Bombyx mori: one gene and its partners. The protein of the gene in region 2 interacts with the protein of the main gene of each other region in a pairwise test. Links are inferred from orthologs where the notes say so. Each region holds a gene or a part of one and is shown on either strand. Other genes may lie near its edges. The genes, in order: C-terminal-binding protein, homeobox protein extradenticle and antennapedia homologue protein.

Evidence for each region.
Region 1: the proteins of homeobox protein extradenticle (region 2) and C-terminal-binding protein interact in a two-hybrid assay, tested with the Drosophila melanogaster proteins (2 studies listed by BioGRID, with this or other methods). The link is inferred for Bombyx mori from reciprocal best matches to the Drosophila melanogaster genes exd and CtBP.
Region 3: the proteins of homeobox protein extradenticle (region 2) and antennapedia homologue protein interact in a protein complementation assay, tested with the Drosophila melanogaster proteins (2 studies listed by BioGRID). The link is inferred for Bombyx mori from reciprocal best matches to the Drosophila melanogaster genes exd and Antp.

What each region holds. Positions count from the first base shown.
Region 1 is NC_085132.1:9,958,990-9,968,076, forward strand, and holds the start of C-terminal-binding protein, read left to right. Parts: upstream 1-3,370; 5' UTR 3,371-3,904; intron 3,905-4,058; exon of another isoform or gene 4,059-4,298; intron 4,299-9,087. Other genes in the region: E3 ubiquitin-protein transferase MAEA, read right to left, coding at 1,838-1,876. UniProt on the Drosophila melanogaster protein: Corepressor targeting diverse transcription regulators. Hairy-interacting protein required for embryonic segmentation and hairy-mediated transcriptional repression.
Region 2 is NC_085121.1:1,647,671-1,655,442, reverse strand, and holds the end of homeobox protein extradenticle, read left to right. Parts: intron 1-1,557; coding exon 1,558-1,658; intron 1,659-1,769; coding exon 1,770-1,920; intron 1,921-2,557; coding exon 2,558-2,654; intron 2,655-3,312; coding exon of another isoform or gene 3,313-3,386; exon of another isoform or gene 3,387-3,444; coding exon of another isoform or gene 3,445-3,521; coding exon 3,522-3,636; intron 3,637-4,521; coding exon 4,522-4,534; downstream 4,535-7,772. Other genes in the region: sulfiredoxin, read left to right, coding at 7,400-7,445. UniProt on the Drosophila melanogaster protein: Transcription factor which acts with the selector homeodomain proteins altering the regulation of downstream target genes such as wingless (wg), teashirt (tsh) and decapentaplegic (dpp), thus affecting segmental identity.
Region 3 is NC_085112.1:5,678,480-5,686,986, reverse strand, and holds part of antennapedia homologue protein, read left to right. Parts: intron 1-3,426; 5' UTR 3,427-3,624; coding exon 3,625-4,285; intron 4,286-8,507. UniProt on the Drosophila melanogaster protein: Sequence-specific transcription factor which is part of a developmental regulatory system that regulates segmental identity in the mesothorax. Provides cells with specific positional identities on the anterior-posterior axis.

The DNA of each region.
Region 1 (9,087 bases), on a different chromosome or scaffold from region 2:
ATCATCCTTTGTTCAATGAAATTGTTGAGTAAAAATATGAGTGTTATTGATAAGGTTGCTGTAAACGATGGTGAAATTCAAATCACATTTTTACAGCTCTGTGATAATACAAGCGAAATATTTAGATTTGATCATGACTATGTGGCAGATGTTACAATGGACTTTTATAGAAGCTCTCTAACTCAAATATAGTTTTAAAAAGCAACAGAATATTTTACAATTCTGATTCATCAGTAATGTTTTCAAAAAACAATAATTCTAATAATATTATATTTACCTATTGCTTACCTATCATATTTAAGTACCTATTTAAGTAATAACTAATTATCTTTCATTATTATGAGATTCATTTTATAGTCTATGACAAAAAATACAAGCCCTTTCAAAAGATATGATATGATATGATTTTAATTATTAAGTAAATAGTAAGAGTTCAATATTATAGTTACAATACATACTATAATATATATTGTTGATGTACATACATACATACATAGTTTTGTTACATAATTCTTAAGCTGCAAACTGTGATTAAAATAATAAATTGTAGTTTACACTTCTGTTCACATTTCCATGACAGAGAGTCCTTGAACAGATTTTTAAGCAAATGTTATAATTCAAATGTTCAAAATCAATTCCAAATTTGATTTATTGTATTTACATTTAAGCAAGAAAGCCGTTTGCTTGGGTGAGGAAAAACGCCCCCATATCAATGGATGTAAGAACGCTGAGAAGACTATTACAAGTTACTAAAGAAGCATCCATTCATTGCCAAAATTCAGTAGGCATGTTTACCATCACTGGTCTAATTGCGGGACTTCACCTCTACAACCAAAAACTCACCATCTACTACTAGTAGCACCACTAGTCCTAGATGATGATGATAATGACTACTAGTCCTAGTAGTATCTATGACATAATTATGTTGCCTACATTAGTTTCACTTTGTTTATTATAATTAAATTTTTTCTGGTAATCACTACATAGCTGCTAAAATTTGTCAATTTGTCTAATTTAAAATGGTAATATATTTAGCATGTGAATTAATTACTAAATATTACTGTTATTATTATATTGTATTGTATTATATTATTATATACATTGTAAAATGTAGAAACTATAAAATAAAAAAAAATTCTTTGATGGAAGAAATGATCCAAACACCTGTTTAGAAAAGTTTGCAAGTAAGCTAACCTGTTTTTATTGCAAAAATAAATATCTATTTAAGCATTATTATCAGACCTCACCAAGCAGTCAATGACTTCATCTGAGATGCTTATGCCATTGTTACAACATTTGTTCACAATATTAATTTTCTACATCATGTTCTCGGTCATTTTATATCATCTAAATTATTCTAAATATATGCTATACTCATTTCCTTATTTGCTTATACTTCCTATATACCAAAAATAAATTAATGGCGTTTTAAACTGTGCAGTTGGTTTATTTTTACAGTTAGTTTTAATTAGTTTTTAGCTTTTAGTTGGTTAGTTTTTAGCTTTTAGTTGGTTAGTTTTTAGCTTTTAGTTGGTTTAGTTTTTAGTTTTGATGGTTTATTGTTTTTAGAAATTATATGTGCTACCTATACTTGCGAGCTTACAATATGCCCTACCATCAATACAATGCTTAATTATGCTTGATATTGCAATATCAAGTCCTTTTTGTGATAAACTTAATTTGTAATATATAAAAAAATATTGGAGTTTCGTAATTTAAGAATAGTTTTTTGCCATATTTTTTATACTCGAATATTCGAGGCTTTTAAATCGATCTGTTTCGATCCATCATGTAGAAAAAGGGCTGATGTCATTTTTATAGACAATTTTAAACTTACCTTCAATGTCGCATGCTCCATAGATTTGATCTCATTCATTTTGAAAACGATATTCGTCTGAGCGGGCTGATGATTGCAAAATTATGACCTATATAAATAAAAACAAAACTCAGCTGACTTAATATTTGTAAATGGACGCAAAACCACGACGTAATGAATACTTGCAATATAATTAATTCCGCAATGTAATGGAAACTTTTCAAAAACAAATAATTTCACTTGAAATCTGATTTCATGATAGTTCATTAAGCGTAAAATCCGAATAAATAATACTAACTCTAATTCATTGAATTCGAGCCTTTAATCAACTCCTTGCGTTGTGGGTATCTTTTTCTTTTGACAAACAAATGTTCCTGTGGTTCATCAGCCAGCGAGTTGAGCAAGCTAAATTTGTATTTTGTCTCTGTCATTTGCAAGCGATTTCACAGAGATGAAGGATTGATTTTCAAGTTCAAAAATAGTTGCCTGCTGAGTTCAACAGTTGTTTTCTTTCCTCTAAAACTCTTCCATTTAAAGATTAAAACAACTGTTTTCGCAATCTCCTCCAGTATCTCTTTATCTTAATATATGTATAATTTGCCCAATAATTGTAATTTCTTCCCCAGAAACAGCTTTTAATGAAGAAAATTTCTCAAGTCTTCTTTATTTCAGAACGCAAACCAAAGACAATACATTCTTATTTTTTTCAGTATGGCAGACGGTTTTTTTAAGATGTCATTGCTGCCAGTATCGAGTTTAGTTCTTCAATTTTTATGATTCACATACCTACATTTTTAATTCGAAAAATGAAAAGGAGCGGAATGAAAAAGTTGAACTATCGGCAATACCAAAAGGAAATTGAATGAAATCAAATAAAATGTAATGACATGAGATGAAATGAAATAATAAGCTGGATTTCAGTACTCTGACTTTTAGGAAGGACCCGAGTATATCCCATCATAATTTTGGCTATCTATGATTTATACATGCTTGTCACAGATATTTTAATAATATGGAACAAGATTCAGAAATTAACATACTAATGCTGAAAAAAACTATTTGTATAAGGTAACTGCATAATATATTCCGTCCGTGTTAATTATTCTTCTATTTTAACGTTAAGATAATAACAAAATGTTGGATTGTGTACCCAATATGTTAATATTACTATTTGTTACTACGTGTTATTACTACTTACAATTATTTGAAATAAAACTAGTCCGATGTTTATCCACTCTTCCACCGGAGACTTATTGCAGTGTGCTAAAAAGTAACCCATCAGAAACTACTCCACAAAAGTCATGACCCTCAGCGGTGAGGATACAAGAAGTAAGAAGGAAGATAGAAGCCGGAAGGCCAGATTCCAACGCACAGCTAAAGGTATTTGACTTGTACGTTTTGAACTTCCCCCGCAAGTTAGTGGAAACTTAATGAATCATTCGTCCAATCCTAACTTTTTTTATTTTTTTTGTTGCCGTTGTAGGTAGACGAGCATATGGCCCACCTGATGGTGATTGGTTATGGTTTAAGCCAAGCGACGAATTCAAACGACGTTGTTTGTGTCCAAAATTGAATTGATTGATTGTTAAAAATATCAAATATGTTTATAGTTTTATATCTATATTGAATTTTAACGATAGGGTAATTTGTAATAGTTATTTCTGTAAAAAAATCAAATATATTTTTGTGTTTGTGTAGATTTAAAAGTTAAATTTTACTGAAGGCGACGAAATCGGTTTTAAGCAAAATCGACTACAACAAAGCCGTCAAATTACTTGTCATAGACAAATATTAACTGACTCTACCATTATTTGTCAGCATCGGCGCGTCAGCGCGTCACTTTCGTTACGCAAATCCGCCATTTTGTATGTAGCTGGCGGTGCTTCGCGGCTTAGTTTCTTCGTTTAGTGAATTTACCTACGATAAACTGAAGAACTTTCTTCTAACTGACTCAGCAAGCCGGCTGTTCATAAAATTGACGATTTTGTGATTTTAGTTTACTCATATACCTTGTGCATTCGTGATTTGTGAGTGTCCTGTAATAGGAGCGCGTGGCTGGTCTTTGTTGTTGGATTTCGCTTATTTACGGTAAGTTAATTTTCTAAACGACTTAAATTTTGGTGATGCGAGGTATAAACTCGAAGTGTTATTTATGTTGACTTTGACGAAATTGCTAAGTTGAAAGTAGCGTCGAAGCGGATAGTATCGGTGCGCGGTGATTGCCTCGCCGTGGCGATGAGGACCGACGACATTCCCGCGGCGACGCCGACGCGTCATCTCTTGCTCGCACGAGAACGTGTTGATCGTGATTCGGCTATTCTAGAAAACTCTACCTAGAATTTAGACTCATATTACTTAACACTAATAGTCGTTAAAATGAGAATCAAGCATTTAGTTCGGTTTCAATAAACTTGTGACAATTGTGAGGTTGTGATGTGTGTGAGCTGATAACTCTGGAATTTGTACAATTAAATGTCACGAGGTGAGATTGGCCGAAATATTGTTTACGATGCTACAAAATAACAAAACTTTTAAACATGAACCGAGTGTCTATTTGCAAATTTTGCTATTATAAAAATACTTTTGAGGTAACACAACTAAAATATTTAAATCACTAATATTAAATCAAGTACACAACTAAACTGGCGGAAAGCAATATAAAGTTATTTTAACTAAAAAGAAAATATGAATTTCTCTTACAAAAAATTTGAAAATTATTTAGAATAACAGCACTCAAGATATTGATACTGATGAAAGATACTACTTCTACAACTTTTATTTTCTAAAACACTAAAATGTTCTTCGGAATGATTAGTCACTCATTTAACTTTGCTATTGCAAATCGATGAAAGTTTGGATTTGGATCTTAACTATCCCTAAATATACATTGTGTTTTAATATTATGTGAACTTTTCATAGCCTTTAGAAATAAAACTTAAAACAGAAATCTTTTTTTAAATGTTTCATATGATTAAGTAAATACAGTTTAAGGAATGAATAATTTAATTGATTTATATTTCTGGATATATTTACCCAGACTTCTAGGTCTTCTTAATCGCAAAAATAATCAAGAGAAAATTAAACTTCTTCAAGTCGAACAGTAATGTGGTAATTTGTTTTGTGTTGGTTTATCTAACTGAATTATTCATTTTCATTTCATTCATTTAAATCAAATTAAGTTAATTATTGTATTGTAGTCTTGATACTCATTAAATAAGCAGGGTCCTTTAAAGATAAACAGGAGCCGACCTAATTTTACTGTCTCTAATATATTGTATCCTCCATACTTTAGTGGATTGTGTGTCAATATAGATTGTAAAAGGGCAAATATTGGCCAATGACAATATCATGATTGGTGTGTGTGTATATACTAGGGCAAAACTGTCACTTATGTACATATTAGTTATACTAATTATATGTAATTATTAAATTAACAATATAGAGCAACATATTTTCATTAAAAAGTCAGATTGTTTAAAATCCTCTGGACAATGAGTGAACCTTTAATGTATTAGCTTATCATCTATTTATGAGAAATGACGGTGTAGTGGTGAAGTTTATGTTAGTGGTGAGATTTTTCTGTTTATTAGCTGGGCAGAGCACGAATAGTATTCTATGACAGAATTAAATTTAATTACATGTGCTTACTCGTATAAGTCATACAAAATATTGATTTAAATAAAAAGAAATTGTTCATACATGGACTGGCATCATGTTCCTCCTAGTCAAGTGGTTATCGGAACCTAAAAACTACAATTGTGCAGTTTTTCATCTTGAAACATAAAATGTAAATCTCAGTAGAACTCTAATTATTGTGGCTAATAGATATGACAGAGTAATGACCATGGTGGTCCTCTGTGCTTAGTATAGGTATTAGAACGAAATGAGGTGAGCGATTAGAGAGTTTGCAGACAGTTCCCGCAGAAGTTAGTAATAACTTGGGGCTGCAAGACCCCTTTTAGTCTCACTTTGGAATAAGCTTCCCTCCACAGTGTTTTCTGAGCGCTATGACTTGTCCTTCTTCAAACGAGGCTTGTGGAGAATACTCAATGGTAGGCAGCGGCTTGGCTCTGCCCCTGGCATTGCTGAAGTCCATGGGCGATGGTAATCACTCACCGTCAGGTGAGGCGTATGCTCGTATGCCTACAAGGGCAATAAAAAAAAAAGAAAAAAACTTCCATCAACTTTAAGCACTAAGAATTTAAGTGTAGTATGTAGTTAAAATATATATTTCTATGGTTCATGATTGAGTTTCATAATCATAGGAATTATTTTACTTCAAATTTGTTCCATAAAATTGTCATTTTTCTTTTAGCAACCGAGCATAATTTGCCAACCCAATTTTTTACATAGCAAAGTTTAAGTGGCTATTTCTACCCGTCCGTCAATTGGATGATAAACGTATAATGGCACCTAACAATAGTTACATGTATGCGAGTGTCGGCACTTGCGTCTTATCTTCACGTATGTATGATTATACCGTGAAGTTGGCCTTGAAGTCATCAGTAGAAAATTTCTTAGTAAAAAAAAAACAAAATGTGTGCAATTCACACGTGGTAGAAGTGAAACCTTCCAAAATTAAAATACAATTATCCTAAACGTCTTAAGTATATGAAAATTTTTGTCATTAGTAAATAATTGTAAGGTAACGCACTCTGTGAATTGATATTTTAATTTCACGTATAATCCTAAATTAAAATTCACTACAAGAGCTTTCATACACACGTTAGTATTAAATCTCACAGATGGCGCTGTATTAAATAGTATGTATATTTCTGTCTCATTCTTTGCTGGCTTCATCCTACACATTTTTGTATTTGTGTCTCTTACCTGTCGTTTTTTCCGTTGCATCCGGTTTGAAATCACAACAATTCTAAAGAAGTTTTCCTTCGATCAATAATAGTACTAGATTACGGATCAGGAACAAAAATAAGACGCTCCAGTGGCCACGTTTGCAGACACGAAAACATCTTCATTTCTTAGAAAAAAGTTTAATAATGTTAACGACTTCAGTTTATTATAAACCTTAAGACTTAAACATAAAGTTTAATTACCATTGCAAAATATATGTATTTAGGTCCTTTCGTCAGAAAAAGAATATTATGGAATAAATTTAAAATGTCACTTGAACATAAAAAGTCATCAGTACAAAAATATTTATTCTAAAATGATACTTAAAGCCTAATTTATAAGGTTAAAAATATTTGTTTAAAATTTCGTGCTTATTGTATTGTGGAACTAGATGTAGTTCTTGGTATTACATTTCAATGCTCAGAACACAGTAAGTATTGAAAGACATAGAGTTGCAGAATATACATATTTGTTTTAGGTTTGTTTTGTATGGTCGCAACTATTTTTGACCGATTCAAAAAAGTAGTAGATAATATTTTACATTGCCGCTATTACAACAAATAGGTGATAAAAAATAAAATTGAATAAAGTAAAAAAAATATGAAAGGAAACACGAAACATGTTTTCCACGTATTCTTTATACAGAAGTTATTAAAACAATAATGTAGGTTTAATTAACTTTAAACAGATTCAGTTTGTTATAAAGCTGTCTTTTAGAAGTCATTTTTATATGAGCGGTTTCTTTTTTACAAATATAATGTAATCTTATATCAATGAATTTTTCTATAATCAGTTTAATTTAGGCTTATTTTATGGCTGTGTTCGTTTCCCCCAGAAAACAAATCCTTTTCAGCATATACGCTTAAAATATTTACACATACATATTATAAAGTTTTTTTAATACTTTTTTGCATTGATTTGCCACCACCATTGAACAATTCTAGAATTTTTATAAGAGTTCTATATTTCTTCTCCTCTTTCTTTCGCGACAATATATATCCATTGTGCACAGCGACAAGGGGCTACTAGGAAATCTACAAACAAAAATAACATTATAAAATAACAAAACTACTCTATGCATTCCCTGTCCAAGAATAGGTGATGTTTGTTACATTAGTTGGTGCCTTGTTGCAAACATTGGCCAAACAATTACAATATTCGTAAATTGTGTTTTATTTACAATATAATTGTGTTTATTATTTTATGAAAAACACTTAATAATATAAATTTACCAAAAAAATATATTCCTTCCAAAACCTTGGTGTTACGGTGGTTTTTTACTCCGTTTTTGAACGCGCAGTGCAGCGTTTTGACGTCTTAGTGTTGGCTATGATTGGACCATACTAATTTGAAATAAGACCACAAATAAATTTGTGGTCTTATTTTTCGGGCCGCTTTTGAAGCGCTAATCGCGAATCTAGTAGTATTATTGATCGAAGAAGTTTTCACTTCAAAAATATGTTAAGAAAAGTCGATTAAATATTTTTAGTTGAAAGTTAAATTTCAAATAAGTAAATGAAGACGTCACATAAAATATCAATTATCTATTTTGAATTACTAGCGCGTAATTAGGAAAAAGCCAAACTGGAAAGAGTGGATAGGATTTATTTAATACAATACCAATAACAGGCGCCATCAAAAAAGCTTTGAATAGTTTGAATCGGTTTATGTTTGAAGATGCGACAGAGTCATACATAGGCTTGAACTTTAAAAAATACTAAAGGTCCCGCAGTAGTTGAAATTCGACTAAAATTAATTGGAATTGTAAGTTTGTAGACTATTATGATTGTATTTTTTACTTCTATAATCACAAATTTCGCCAAGACTACACTATAAAAAATACTAACAAAGTCAAACAATATTTAATCTATCCTCAATTTGACGACAGACGTCAAGAACAAAAGTTTGACAATAAATAGTATGCATGCGTGTGTGCGTCAAATACATGGTATGTAGGTGTGTAATGTTTTCTTTATTGATTTAATGTATCTTTTATGCATTATTTAAAAAATATATTAGCATTGTGCACTTCTTCTCTATATTCTCTATAAGTGTGGAAAATTTCATACTCCTCCGTCCGCGCAATTTTCGTAAAAAGGGATACAAAGTTTTTGCTTCACGTATTAATTTAAAAAATATACATATTTTGAAGTCTACGTATAAAAACGCTACGCTACTATCATCTTTCAAAATTACTTTCAATTAAGTGACTTCGTTACAATCGAATATTTAAGAATGTGGTCTGGTGTCAATTGCATGAATGCTGTATCAACATGCTCAGAGAAACGATTATGAAAAACGTACACACGTAAAAGTTCGATAATCTGTGTACATGAGAAACCATTAAAAACTCCACACTAAACACGTCAGTATTTAAATTGCGCGTTGACCTTATTCGAAATATTATGTGAATAACTTCG
Region 2 (7,772 bases):
GCCTTTGAAATGCTTGCCTGCGGAAGAAATCGATGAAAATTTAACTACTCTTGCTAGACACGATTTGCTAGACAAATTAGTTCAATCGTTTTGGAAGCGCTGGAGACGGGAATACCTTCATACGTTGCAATCACGCCGCAAATGGAACACGCCGGTCGATCCAGTCGTCGTCGGCTCGGTGGTGATTCTGATTAACGATAATTCGCCTCCTCTACACTGGCCTTTGGGTGTCGTGGAAGAAGTGTTTCCGGACTCTACGGGAGTTACACGCATTGCACGGGTTAAGACAGCGATCGGATCGTATTTGCGTCCCGTGGTGCGACTCTGCCCACTACCCAACCAGTAGCACATTTAGATTTTTCATATTATTTAGGTTAGTTGTATATAGATATAGTATAAATTCTTAATTCTTGTAGGAACATAGCGTAATAGTAGATAAACGTAGCGTACTTATTTGAATTTATTGTTATTCGTTTGTTAGATAATACACTTTTTAGTTTTAGTTAGATAATACACGTTTTAGTTAGATAATACTTTGAAGGCGTCCCTTCAAGCCCGGGGGAATGGTTGCGCTGGTTTAAAACTGTTAGTTTTAAGTTTCGAAAAATAGCAACATTTTAATTTGGTTTTGCAAATCCTGTCCCATCCCTCTCCGGCACTTTTACCTACGGATGCGTGCGAGCGAGATCGTGTGGTGACATCAAAGACGAAAAAATATGGCTGAACAACCGCGCGCGCGCTTCGTGTCTTTGTTATGTTAAATACGTAAATAAGTGAAATCGTTGGTGTTTCTCATCGCGGAGTGGTACGAGTCTGCAGCAAGGACTACATAAAGGTATTGTGCATCCTTCCTTTAACGCAGAACTGCCACTTCTTATCGTTTCTTCCCGCAGTCTGTGTCCTTCATTTGCAACGACCAAATTTCAAATATTTCGTAGTTTGCTTATCTCGCGTCTACACCGATATTTTTACCAATCCTTAGTTGATGTACTGATATCCAATATGGGCAAATTATTTCAATTTTTATAGTATCAGTACAAAGTACAAAATAAACATAAAAAGAGGTTACACATTTACATTTTTGATTAAGAGAATCCATACTATTTTATTCTTCTTTTTCTTCTTCTTCTGAGTCGGTCTCTTCATTACTGAAGGTCGTGTCTAATCTAAAATGTGGACCACTCGATGTACAATGCTTCCCCACGTCTTCCTGTCCTCGGCGGTCTTTATAGCCTCGGTTATTGGCAGGCTGGTAAGCGTCTTAACCAGATCAGACCAGCAGATAGGTGAGCGTCCGCGTGATCTTTTCCCGTCAACCTGACCAACTACCATTAGCTTCTCCAAGTTATCGGGGCCTCTACGAGCAATGTGGCCGAAGTACGCGAGAATACGTTGGAAGCAGATAGCGGACAGGTCCATTGGTCCGGCGTGCTGTCCATGGAATTCGCAACATCCGTCTCCAACGCCACATTTCAAAAGCGTCGATCTTTGCTCTCTCACGAATCCTGGACTATTATATTAATGCTTATTAATTAAATAAACGTGTTTTTGTGGCAGGAAATTGAACGCATGGTGCAAATAATTCACAAGAAGTTTAGCTCCATCCAGATGCAGCTCAAGCAGTCCACTTGCGAGGCAGTGATGATTCTGCGCTCACGGTAAATGAATGACAAACATTACAACGTCTACATTAAGAAAATTATTTTACAACCAGCTCAACTTTGGCCTCAATTAAAACAATGAAAAACGAATACGATTCCCGCTTGCAGTTTCCTGGACGCGCGCAGAAAGCGCCGTAACTTCAGCAAGCAAGCGTCGGAGATCCTCAATGAATACTTCTACTCGCATCTGTCGAACCCGTACCCCAGCGAGGAGGCGAAAGAGGAGCTGGCGCGCAAGTGCGGCATTACCGTATCGCAGGTAACGGACCCTTGGCTCGCTTTACAGCTTCCTAGACGCGAGACGCAAGCGACGTAACTTCACCAAGCACGCGATAGAGTTGCTCAATGAGTACTTCTACTCGCACCTGGACAACCCCTACCCCGGCGAGGAAGTCAAGGAGGAGCTCGCCAGGAAGTGCGCCATTACTGTGTCGCAGGTAGCGCACAAACGCGAGGACACATATTGCTTTGACTAATTTTAATGAATTAGGAATATGTATTTCAAGTTTAAGTGAGTTGAAAAAGACAATATTATAAACTATTTAGTTAAACTAGCTGACCGGGCAGACTTCGTAGTGCCTCAATCTATAAATAATAGACCCAAACTTTTGTATAAAATAAACTTAAAACAAACCAAAGGAATCCATCTGACGGGGGACATATAAAAGGAAAAACAAAATTGTTATTTTTATTTAATTCCGAGCATTTTCATATTTATCTACCTTTTAAACCTTCTCTGGACTTCACAAATAATTCAAGGCCAAAATTAGCCAAAACGGTCCTGCGGTTCTCGAGTTTTAGCGAGACTAACGAACAGCCATTCATTTTTATATATACAAACAGCAGATAATGAGTGTCTTCAAGAATGTGGGAGTAAGTGTTGGTTTCTATTGCAGGTCTCTAATTGGTTTGGCAACAAGCGCATTCGCTACAAGAAGAACATTGGCAAGGCGCAAGAGGAGGCCAACCTTTATGCTGCCAAGAAAGCAGCCGGTGAGTGGGACTAACGTAAACATGTTTAGTTTTCAATTTATTTATTGAATTAAGAGCTTAATCTTAATTACAAATTCAGGTGATAATGAGATTGATTAGTAAAGGAGTAAGTCGATGAAATTAGTAGTATACAAAATGATCAGCACTGCATTGAAGTCAATTCAAGTGTAACAGTAGTTTTTGCCGCACATAAATAACCTATGACGTCACGACTAAACAAATACATGATTTTATCATTGAGATGACTAAATCACAATGCGCTAGTTCACATTAGGTCGGACCGGCATCGTTACGGTAGAGAACAATGTATGGTAGAAAGGGTAGAGTGGCAAAAAAAAGAAGAGAAAAGCTATCAGTTGTATCAAACCTGTGGACACAATGTTGACAAAATATGGCCAGTGACAAATTTAAATTTGAAATTATTGTTTCGATTGTCTTTGTAAGCTGTAATAAAACTTATCGGAAGTGGTTACCGCCCCTTACGGCCATCGCCGTTGCTAAGAGCATAAAAGCTCTTCTTATAATTGAGGACTGCCTGTTTGAAGAGAGACACACGTCCGTACTGTGGATAGCACCGGGGTGAATATTGAGGTGGGGCTTGACTCGAACTGTTGGAATGTAGTAAAGTATTTCTGGAAACGCATTGTGATACCCGCAGCGGTTCCAGGTAGTAGGGATGAATTCCGTTCCGGTGGAGGGTGGGGACCTAATGTGAAGCAGCTGTATGAGTAGTCGTGTGCGTGTGCGTGTGCGTGCGGAGAGTGGTGAGTGTGTGCGCGTGTGCGTGCAGCAGCGGGCGCGTCGCCGTACTCGCTGGGCGGAGCCTCGGGCGCGGCCACTCCGCTGATGTCGCCGGCGCCGCCCCAGGACTCGCTGGGCTACTCGCTGCCGGCGCCGCCCTACGACCAGCAGCCGCCCTACGACGCCTCCATGCCCTACGACCCCATGCACCAGGATCTATCGCCCTAATCGCCACACATATGTAACTATCTTTTATATCAACATTTTACCAATGCCCAGTCAGGACTTTTTTCTTGACCTAATTTTTTTCACAACACATAAAATATCAAAATCAAAGCATAACAACATCTATGTGGTAACAATGTGGCGACCTTCGATATTACTTCAATCAAGTTGTATTGCTCTATTGAATTAAAAATTAAGGCTTAAGCAACGCTAGCCATATTTTTATTTCATCTTAAAAGCTGAAAGTATCGATCCAACTGATGGTGGCATAAACGCAGATGGCACGACATAGCTCATACCGTAATACCCTCAGTACTTCATAACTTTATCTGCAGTTCTTCAAATTCTAATTAGGGATGTTATCTGACACATCTTTTTTTGAAAACTGAAATGCTTTTCTATTCTCTCTCTCTCTTTTTGAAACATCAGAAGGACAAGTTCCAACTAGAAAACCTTCCGGGTGATCAGCAATACAGCCATACTCCCCAAAAAAATAAAAACCAGTTAAAGACAATTTACAGTTAATTTAAATAATTTTCAAATGTGACCTTTCCACATAATACTTTTGGAGGATTCTCTGTCACAATCTATACTGCAAATCTATATATATAAAAATGAATTGCCGTTCGTTAGTCTCGCTAAAACTCGAGAACGGCTGGACCGATTTGGCGAATTTTGGTCTTGCATTATTTGTGGAAGTCCAGAGAAGGTTTAAAAGGTAGATAAATATGAAAATGCTCGGAATTACATAAAAATAACAATTTTGTTTTTCCTTTGATGTGTCCCCCGTCGGACGGATTCCTTTTGTTTGTTTTAAGTTTATGTTATACAGAGGTTTAGGTTTAGGCACTACGAAGTCTGCCGGGTCAGCTAGTAAATTTATAATTTGCATCCATTTCAGGTTGACGACATGACGCATAATCGTGCAGCTTCCACTGAATTGCCATTTACATTACATAATATTATGTATATCGTTAGGTAAAGGAGTACTGCGAGTGCTCGCCTCTACGCGCCCTCTCGGAACACAACGACCTCTGCAACCTGCAATATTCCAAATCAATGGAATGTAAATTATTTAAAACTGTTCACTGCTTGTTTTCTCATGTATTTGAATATTTAAAGTTCCATTACTGAAGTATTGTTACGATGAGAAATGTGTTCTGAGAGTGTAGCCCTTGCCTTAGGACATAGAACATTGTATACTATGCATTATTAGCACGTTACATAATATTTTTATCGTATTTTTGGAGGTAAATGTAATTGAAATGTATTTAATTTTTATTAATCTATATGACTGGCCCCCAGTATTTATTTTATACAATATTTTTCTAAAACGACTTGAAAAGGCAACTTTATTAGTATTATTTTGTTTTTATTATTATTTTAATACCAGTTATAATTTTTTGAAGTAATTATTTGGACAGTATTAGTATTAATTATGTCGAGAATCAGAAGGCCGGGATCTCTGTACGTTCACTATTCAACTCTACGGTGGTTATATTTATACGATAGCTGTAAGTCTTAGTTTATAGTGTAACATTATAGATTTAAGGGATCAGATATTTTGTGCTGTAATATTTCCACTAATGCGTCCCTACCGTGTATACTAAAATGGCTTAGATATTGTTATTTTCCGACTTGGTACTTAACTAAACATATGTTATCGATTTTAATTTAGTTCTCATTTTAAATTTAACAGCGAAATTTCGGTCCGCCCTCAATCATGTACGTGTTAGATCTGCCCATTATTATTGCCATTATGAAAAATTAAGACTTGAATTATGTTTTTGATTCATCTACAGATTAATGTTTGGAACGAAATTTGACTGTGTTGCCATTCATTTATATGTAGAAAAAAAAAAAATGTCTGAGAAAAGTACGCACGCCCATGTTTATATACCGTTGATAGTGCGGACATTCGTGTGCAATTTTATATTTTAATGAATGGTTGTGTTACTGTGTCGAGCATGTTAATGGAATTGATTATTTTATACTATTACTTGATTTTTTAATCGATATTTTGAATGTAATCATGTGATTATTATTTTTATTATTTGACATGATTTTTGTTGTGAATATATAAAACTTCAGTGATTTTTTTTTGTAAATTTAACAACATGGTGCTGTCGGTGCGGCATCACTTTATCTCGTTCAGTTGTAAGTTTTATTATGTTTCGTCGTTGACTATCGCAGAAGGATCAAGACTATTTAGTTCCACGTAGACGACTATTACGGAAACGTTGCGAGCGTCACATTATACGTGTTCTAAAAACAAAATATCTGAAACAGTATACGAGAAATTAAACGGAGAAATTAAAAAAATATTTGTTTAAAACTGTGGAACGTTAATATTATAAAGAGACGCGTCGTCGCCATTAATAATTATGGTTTAGAACTTACTATATTTATATGTGACGACGCGGACACCATGTATACGACGACGAGTTCAATGTTATTGCGACCATCAGATTGACTAAATACATTTTTTGTGTAGTTATAATTGACGTTTTTTTTTTATTTGAAATTCCCAACTTTTGTTTTCACTTCTCTTAATTGTATACAAGGAATAATCATCTGGAATTATGGCTTGGTTCCCTTAGCCCAAAATTTTCTCATTTAGGTAAGTTAATTACACGTGATAGAAATATGGTAAAATCCCGTACCTGCCTGCGGGATTTGAACATTGGCATAGTCGCATCGCTTGATACGAGTAGGGATACCGAGCACCCTAACTTTAAGGCTACGATGGCCACAATATGCAGTTTAATGACGAATTTAACCTAATGACTCGAGACTGGGAATTGAAGCAGAGAGTGGTGATATTGTAGTCAGTAAATTAGATCCACTGAGAAGATCCTAGAAACTCAGTGAGTTGTGTCCGAGTGTAATATATAGACTGTAGTGTCGTTACTTATATGACACTACCACTATACATCACTAGACCAATATGGCGGCTGTTCTTTCGATGTAGGTGCACAAAACAAAGTCACGTGCTTACCTTGTCATTATGCTAAACAGTATGTTTCCTAAGGAAATTCATAGAATAATCTTATATTATAAATACGAAAGTTTCTGTCGACTGGTGAATTTTATCCTTTTATACAAAACGATGATTCTGATGAACCTACAATGTAAGAATGGTATAAATATTGGAGTAGCACATAGCTCTAATATAGTTTGACGACCGTTAGATGACGCGCGATGAGTTTGGAGAAATTTAATACTAATGCCGGAACTAGGTACTCTCTTTTTGATATTTACATCGGTACACAAACAAGTTCATTACTGACCTAGTGTTAAGTGGCCCATAAACGCCACAACGTAAATCCCGCGGATTGCCTTGTGATCCAAGGTGTTTTTTTGTTTATTTTGAATCATCGCATATGAGCTTACAATTGTCCCGATAGTAAGTGGTTACGACGTTACTGGACTATGACCAGTGTGCTTAGTGCGAGTGTTTTAACTTCTCGAAAGTAACTTCGCGTAAAAGTTAACTTAAATTTGTAGGTATGGAGTTGGAACAGCGTCCCTAGATTGACGTAATTAGACCGTAGTAGTAGGACCGAGTCTCGACCAAGACCAACTTTTCACCACAAAAAGACTTGTTTGCAAAATAATACAATAGTGTTGTGTTTGTATATTTAATTTTATCAGGCGCAATGTGACCTTGGCCATGTTCGTTCATTATGTCAGTTTTCGACGCCCGTCCGCTTACTCCTCGCTCGGTTAGTGCAGTGAATACATTCAGGCAGTCAGGTTGACTCCGGTGGACTAGGGTTATGTTAAAGAATATTGCCAGCTTAACCTCTGCGACAGCGGCTAGATGTGAGTACAACTTTTAAAAAAGATGATAATTTTTATTTAGTACACATAACTAATTATGTATTATTTGTCATCACTCGAACTACATATATCAAGTACAAGGTTTGTCAATGTTATGATCATAAATGAAAAGAATCGTAAGGTTTAGATTGAATTCATTGCAATTAATTAACTTTGAAGTTTCATTTTACAATAACAAATAAGAGTAATTGAAAACAAATATTTCCGGATACATAAACCAAAAAAAGACTTTTGTAAATACTGTTTATATATTAAATTGGTTTAAGACCATACTATAAAACAGAAATGTAACTTATTTACCGTTTGCAT
Region 3 (8,507 bases), on a different chromosome or scaffold from region 2:
GAGGGAACGCTGGTAAATTAATCGCAGTCCGCGTCATAATGGATGCCACATCATGTCATATCTGGATATCGGTGAATATGGAGCACTGAATTATCTTGAATAATATATATTTTATTGTCCAGAACGCAAAACTATTTTGCGGCAGAAATAGGGAAGATCTATCCATGCGAGCTCATGATACGCTTTATCTTTATTACACATATGATATTCCTTCATCATGGATATCGTTTCCAATAAGATTATCATCATTAACATAAAATATCAAATTCTGTATAAATACCTAAATAATTTTTGAATAACGTATAAATTTGTCTTTTACCAGAAATATAAAACTAAATAAAATAAAAATTCAATTAATTTAAAACAAAGTTATCAGAAAAATATTTCGGTGTAATTGATAGTTTATTGGTAGCTTTATCATATAGATACATACTAATAACGCTGTGAATAAAAAAAAAGGCGTAAAATACGTTTTTCATCATTAAAATTACATTGTCACTCTCCTTATCTAACATTATAAAACAGTGTAGCATAAATAAATCGTTCTTGTTCCCACAATAGCTCTCTAATTGACAAATAGTCGAAATGATAAATACTAGGCGTCGGATATTTTCCAAAAATACTCATCCTTTGATCGTCATTTGATTAAGTACCAACGACTGTCGTACGCGAAATGTTATTAATATTATTTTTAATTTCAACTCCAGAGGCTATTATGCCGTGTATTTTAGTTTGATTTATGTCATTACGAAATAAAAGTGGGATTATAAATTTCGAACGAGTCATCGGTACATTTTTAGCGGTCTAGGAAGTGTTTGGTTTAATTTATGTATCAGCTAAAATTCAATGGGAATCTCGTTTGGATGTTACTATATAATTGCATTGTTTGTTCGTTACTTCAACAAGATTTTAATTCACGGAAAAGATTTGCTAGTTCTTTATACTTTAATAAAAACGCACACTGAAACATTTCTGGCTTAAAATCCTTTCGAATTCAATCATTTTGAAAAATCCTGGTGAGCTTTAAAAAGCATTTAATTACAAGCCTATACTTAGAAGCGGAGGCCATGAGAGCGACCTGCGAGTGACTCAGAAAACCCGTTCTTGAAAACGTAAATCAAAGCGGCAGCGTACTCGGTTATCAAATTATCAAAAGCACGTGAGACTTAATTTCGACGTCGGTCAGCTTAAAGACATGTTCCTTGAACCGAGCTTAAGATTCTTATCTCGACCTGGTAATTGCCGGCTAGAACATTCGCTTGTTACGTGTGAGATTAAATTCATAACTACGAGATAATGTACAATTATGTGTACGTAAAGTTAACATGAAAATGTCATGTTTCTTGGGATTTAACTTCGCCTTCAGATGACACCGATATTCAGTAACATAATTTCACTTCAACGAATTTTTTTATATGTTTCTCTCTAATTCACCCTGATTAAAAACGTTCGCTAGACAGTAATAAATTGTGGAGTCGGAACTATTGTGATTGGACTCGATGTAGGCATCTACTGGAATGCAAATGGAAATTGAAAATTAAAAAAAGCGAGGGTCGCAATGCCGCTGGGGCGGTGAAATCGTAAATTGTAATTGTTCAACCGAGATGCAAATTTTTCGAATAGCTATGCTTTTCTATTGTACGTACATTGTCGCGACTCTCCGTTTCCATTATTTTTTTCATCACTTTTTCCCACTAGGTGGGGTCGGCACAGCAAATTTTTCTCTTCCATTCTCTACTATCAGCCGTCAGCTCAACATCCACTCCTCTCTCTCATTCACACACTCCATTTATGTCTTCTTCGGTCGACTTCTTTCCCTCTACCTTGCACTACCATTTCCATATTCATGCATCTTCTCTCTACGCATCACATGTCCATACCACGCTAACCATCCGCACTTTAAATTGCTAATTACCGGGGCTAGTTTGACACTTCCTCTTCTATGCTTACAATAAATAACGATTTTATGTATCCAAAGAATATTAGCCAAAGAATTTTTGGCGGTGAAATACAAAAAAGTATCACCATTTATAAAAACGATCCAAGAAGCTAATAACAAGACAGCACCTAGCTTACGCCTAATGTCATGAGTGACGGTAACCATTCAGTTTTAGAGGTTCATATGCTCGTCTCTCTACAGTGACCATAGAAAATATCTTTTTGCAATGTCGCAGTACTCTCACCGGTTTTACCTAAAAGAAAACCCTTTAGTTTTACATTCAGTACTGATAGAGTGTGATTATAAGTCCACACCACTACTACTTGTTACTGAAGCACGTAAAGTCTACCAAATTCAATACCGTTGCCCTAATGAAATTGAAATTTCCAATCCGTTTCAAAGTGAGCCATACGAAAGTTGTAACATTTAATTAAAAAAATATACAGAACATAAACAAAGTGAATAGAATGCGTCTTATTCGTTTTTTCCCAATTGTTCCCAGGCGTAAGTTATTATATAAACCAATGTAACTACAGCTAAGAACACATTGTCTATAGAGTAGCCGCCATCATTAACTGTCGCTAATGAAGCATGAACTTTTGGATTTTAAATAGCCTGAGCCAGTTCTCGGGGCGGAGATACATTCGGATCCTGTACAGTACATTCTTTTTTCTCTCTCTCTGGATACGTGAAATTTAGTAAAGCGTATCAAAAATGTTGCAACGTGACTTTGTAACTTCGTAAATGGAAACGTATAAGATAATATGTGACGACCGAAATGCGCAGCCATTACGGTAGCACTTAGATGTTGTCTTAATGTACAAAAGTCTTCTCGTATTTTTACCGTTACGCAGGTTTTTTTTGGCTGGACTAATACTTGGTGTACTTGTTTAATTCTAGTAAGTGCCAGATTAAATGCATCATGATTTTTTTTAACTTAAAAAACTAAAAAACAAGATCATACGATAACGTTTGTGTTTCTGTTATTTTTTCGAGAATCAACGACAGTGTAAAGTTAAGTCTTCAGACCGCGATACGACTGTCATTCATGCTCCATCAACTGCTGGGACATGTCGAGGATATGACGTCAGGTCAACCACATGTTGATGTCGCGACTTGACACTATTTCGTCTCCTGTCTCATTTTTGAGGAACTGCTTCCTTGAGACAGACAAAGACAGATTTTAAATGTCTTATCGTGTTTAAGAATGCGGCGCTTGGTTAGCTCCTACGAATGGGGGCCGTTTAGCAGACAGGTCGTCTATAAGGCGTTTTACTAGCAACATAAGGTTTATATCTTCGTGTGTGTCCCAGTTTTAAGACACGTGTCAGTCTGCGTGGACCGTCAGGTCGACTCAGCGCGTGATGACTGGCGTATCAATCCACGAGCCGGCCAAAACAAACATACAATCAAACGAGAACCGCCTCTCGATATCTTCCAAATATTTAATTTTAGATTGACTAAGTGCATCAACCTTTTCTTTTCAGATTGGCCGAGAATCAGATGAGGAGACACCGTCCGTCAACAACGCGTAAATCAACAGTGAGTTCAGCAAACGTCATTTAGTGAATGGATTCGGAAGTGTTTGTGTTGTGACTGAATTGTGATAACGTAGTGTCGGCCCTTGGGGCCGAAAATCTGCGACGGAAAATACGGACGTGAGCCGCGCGGGCTGCGGGCCCGCGATGAGCGCCAACAATTGCGACAGTATGACATATTTTTCTAACGCTTACATGCCGGACATGAGGAACGGAGGCGGTCACGAACATCAACAGGCGCACGCGCATTACGGCGCGGTGCCACAACAAGGGCACGAAATGGATGGCTGCGATCAGCAGCTCAGGCCGGCACAGCATCACTACCCGGCGCAACCTGCGCCTGGAATGCCCTACCCCAGGTTTCCACCCTACGACAGGCTAGGGTATTATCAACAAATGGAACAAAACGGATACCGGCCGGACAGCCCTTCTCAAATGGGGCATATGGGTCCTAAAACGGACGGATATGGACCTAACGGACACCAACCGGCAACTCCCGCAGTTTACACGTCGTGTAAGCTTCAAGCTGCAGCCGCGACAGGAGGAGCAGTCCCCGGCAGCCCACCCTTAGAACAAGCACAACAAATGCCCCATCATATGCACCCCCAACAGCATATGGTCCAGCACGGAGTACCTCCACACCAACAGCATCTCATGTACCCTGTGGACGACATGCAACATCAGACGCAGATGCCCCCTATGCATCAACAATCGATGCATGCACAGCAACCTCCTCCGCAGCAGCCCCCGCCTAATACGAACGCATCGCTGCCCAGTCCGCTATACCCATGGATGCGAAGTCAATTTGGTAAGCACCTAACCTATATTTGTAATTAATGTTATACAGCATTTATCATTATAACATCAATTCACTTGCTACCTTTCAGACATGATCACTTCAGTGGTCTCACGGTATGAGCCCTGATTATTGTACCAATTATCCGGGTTAAAGTTTCTGAAGGAATTAAAATAATAAAATGAAGAAAAAAAACATGGATAACTAATTAATTCTTAATGTCACATATTAATAAAGGTTTGCTCTAATTACAAAACAAAAATCTAATCATACAGTTGTTGTCCGTATATAATGATGTACTGGCATTTTACACAGAAACTAATGACAAAATTTAATAGCATTTGGAGGATAGGCTCTGTTCTTTCGTTTACTCACAACACAAATATCTGAACGTACGATCGAGTATCGAAATGAAGTAAACTTTATTACGAGTCGAACTATCTAACCTAAAAATAATAAAAGCAATAACTATACATCGATAGTTCTTCAAAAATACTATGGATTTATTTTATTTTATTCAACTAAGGTTTTAATGTTTTTCGAAAGTCGTGAATATGTTACTTTCGCCATTTGTGAACTATGATTTGGAAATTCTGAGAGGAAACGAATGAGTGATTAGAACTTAAAGGGTTTCGCATTAAATAGCCTAATGGAATAATAATTTATTAATAATAAATAATTGGAAGATAATTAGAAATTGATAATATTTCTCCTATGTTATTTTCCTATCCTGGTATCGGAAACCCATTAGTGACAATAACAAATACGCTAAGATCCAGAATACATGTATTTTTACAAAGGTACCGACTCCAAGCTCGTAGCTTATAAAATATTTACAATATTATTTATTACACATTATTAAGATATTGCCGATAAAATGTATTATTTATTTGAGTTCAGTTCACGGGTCAAGCGAACGCTAACTCTGGTTTTGCTGTTTTCGTCACGCACTTGCCTGGCTTTCGTTATCTGAGTCGACTATTATCAAAGCCGGCAATGTGACTTTTGGATAATTATTGGTAAATCAGAAAAACGAATTATTGACTTTGTATTCCATTGGCTGTCACAAAACTCTTCTGAACGACATCTTAGATAAATAACAGGTTAAGTATTAACCTTTATTTAATGCAGGTTTTGAACCGTATTCTTTGAAGGAGACGATTATATTCAAATCAATCTGTATTGAAATATCAATAAATTTTTTTGTCCAAATGCACAGATTGCCACCTTTGATAATAGACGACTCATCTGTTGTCTTACAATAAGCCACTCACTACACAGACACGAAACTATGAATGGCGCATTTATTTATTGATTTATGGTAGCCGCACTGAAAATCGCAAGTATTCCATACTGATTTGCGAATCTACGAGGACCACTCTCGTTTTGCATTGACGTGAAACAATAAGAGTCAGAAACAATACCGTTCCTACTGTTCGGGGATTATTTATGGGCCGAAGAGGCATTCAAAAGGAATTTCACTTTTCACAAAATTTACAACACCCAGGACAAAAGCTCACCTTCTGTTTAGCTGACGCCGAATACGAACAATGAGCCTTCAAGTTGTGCTACCGTCTCCTACTGTTTTTGAATTTGTCTGCGATCTAATTTACGGTTGAGTTGGCTGATTTAGAGATTCCATTGTAATTTGAGAATGTAAGCCTAGTAAGTTCGTATTTCGAGATTTAGTTCGGGAATGAATTGTCGAATGAGATAGTTTTGCTGGTTACTTAAACAGAACGTATTTCTATTAACTAGCATGAAATTAAGTGATGTGACTTAATGTTTTTTTTGTTACTGATATCGTGGTGACTATGTGACTGTGTATAAGAGACTATGAGTTTATTTCTAAAGTGAAAAAAGGTGCGTTCGATTTTAAAATTTTAGAGATTCATGTCATTCATACATCTTTGTTACAAAAAAAAACAATGAGATAATTAATTGACAAAATAATTAAAACTTGATGATAAACATTATATAATAAATGAGTACGTCAATAGAATGATATAATGAATAATACCAAATACATTAAATATTAACGAATCATTCATATTAAAAGTTTAGAAAAGTATTATTGAATAAAAGATAAAACTTCAAATAATTTAACCCGCATAAACTACATATAGCCACATGTCCATCGCTTTTATCCTTAACCATTGTAAGTCCTTTGCTTCGTACAAGTAGGTACGTTTGTGCATCAATAGAACGAAATTGACATTAATTCTGATACCGGATCTCTTTCATCTACTAACCGTTTTTAAACGGATACAGTCATTGCTTAGACAGCGATCTTACACAAGTATAAGTAGCTACGTTGCGACCACAATATAAATTGCACAATTTACCCAACAATTGTATTATTATTATTATCTACGAACAGACGCTGATTGACATTGGTTACACTAGGCAAATCGGTTTAAACCTTGAAAACAACTACTGAATTTAGCTTGTGTCATAGTTTAAAGGTAGTTTAAAAGAATTCAATAAAAATTTCTTAATTTTGTCTTACCTAGAATTGGGTTCTAATTCCTTTTGTATTAAAATAAACTTTTTTATAGCAACCCCAGTATGGTTTATACTAAAACCACTTAACTAGAAGCCTGAACGAGCCGAACCCGTGTCGTAACCCTTATCCAAAGGAGCTAGATAAGATTTGTCAATTTTCGGTCCGCCATGAGAGAGACCAGTCAACTTCGGCTAACTTGTTAATTAATTTCAAACTCTACTTCGATACTAACGACGCCGAGACAAACTACACTTACTTTAGATATTATCGAAATACCCACAAATTTTAGTCAAAATTGAATATAAAATTTTTCTCAATAATTATCAGTATAAGCCCGCATTATTGTGATGTCACAATGATAGTACAATACAATTTTTTGTTAATAATAAAAAAATTAACCGATAAATTATATGTTTGCGATGATAAATATGAGTCATTTGATTCACTTATAAACACGACAATTTAAATTATACAGTAGCTTTTTTCGTAATGATCTCGCTAATTTGTTTAATTATATGTTGCGTGTTATCTAAGTAATTTATTACCTCTTCGACGCTAATAGCACTTACAATTAATTTCATACTTACAATAACTCATTCCACTAAATTATCAACAATTATTCAGAAACCAAACAAAATGTATTTAATCTTTGAAAAATTTGATACTTCAAAGATACGGTAGCAAATAGTCGCACTTACTCGTATATTCTCATTGAGTTTCACCTTATCCACTTGAGACTGCCTTCATTAATTATCTTCAAAAATCGGCTGCCATTTTGAAATAAAAAATCAACCAATAGGAACGGATCTCGTTTTAAAATAGAACACTCTGGCGTTCTCAGCGTACGAATCATTAATCATTTGTGAACTAACTTCTGAAGTAGTTAATGATTAAAATGTATTTAGGTTTTTGATAATTTTCTCTACAGCATTCCTGAGGAAATATTGCTATCATAAAAAAAACTGTCGGAAATCATTGTACCGTGTATTCATTTTAATGTCATTTGATAACGAAATTTTCACGAGGCTTTAGATGTAGCACTAATGTTACATGTTTTGTTAATAAAAATCCCCTATTATTTTCCTCTGTAGTCAAAGAACATGTAAAACAAACTACCTATATTGATGATAGTAGTCATGTAAATCATTTATTATAATCTGTTTTTTTTTTTTACCTATTTTTCCTCTGAATTTCGTAGTGTGTCGCCTCTTGATCGTAGATTGTATTTTTATTTTAGAAGTACCGTAATATTAGATTTCTTTAAGTTATTTCTGTAACAGTTTTTTACTTCACATCTGATTAATGTTTTTGTAATAGTTTTCTGTGTCATTAAATTTTCATGATATATTTATATTAATACCGAAGCATGATAGGCCTATCAATTTCAACTTTTTTAATACGCTTTTACTAGCTTCAGACGTATGTATGTATGTTTGTAACGGAAATCGTGGCCTAAAGGATAAGACGTCCGGTGCATTCGTATCGAGCGATGCACCGGTGTTCGAATCCCGCAGGCGGGTACCAATTTTTCTAATGAAATACGTACTAAACAAATGTTCACGGTTGACTTCCACGGTGAAGGAATAACATCGTGCAATAAAAATCAAACCCGCAAAGCTATAATTTGCGTAATTACTGGTGGTAGGACCTCTTGTGAATCCGCACGGGTAGGTACCACCGCCCCGCCTATTTCTGCCGTGAAGCAGTAATGCGTTTCGGTTTGAAGGG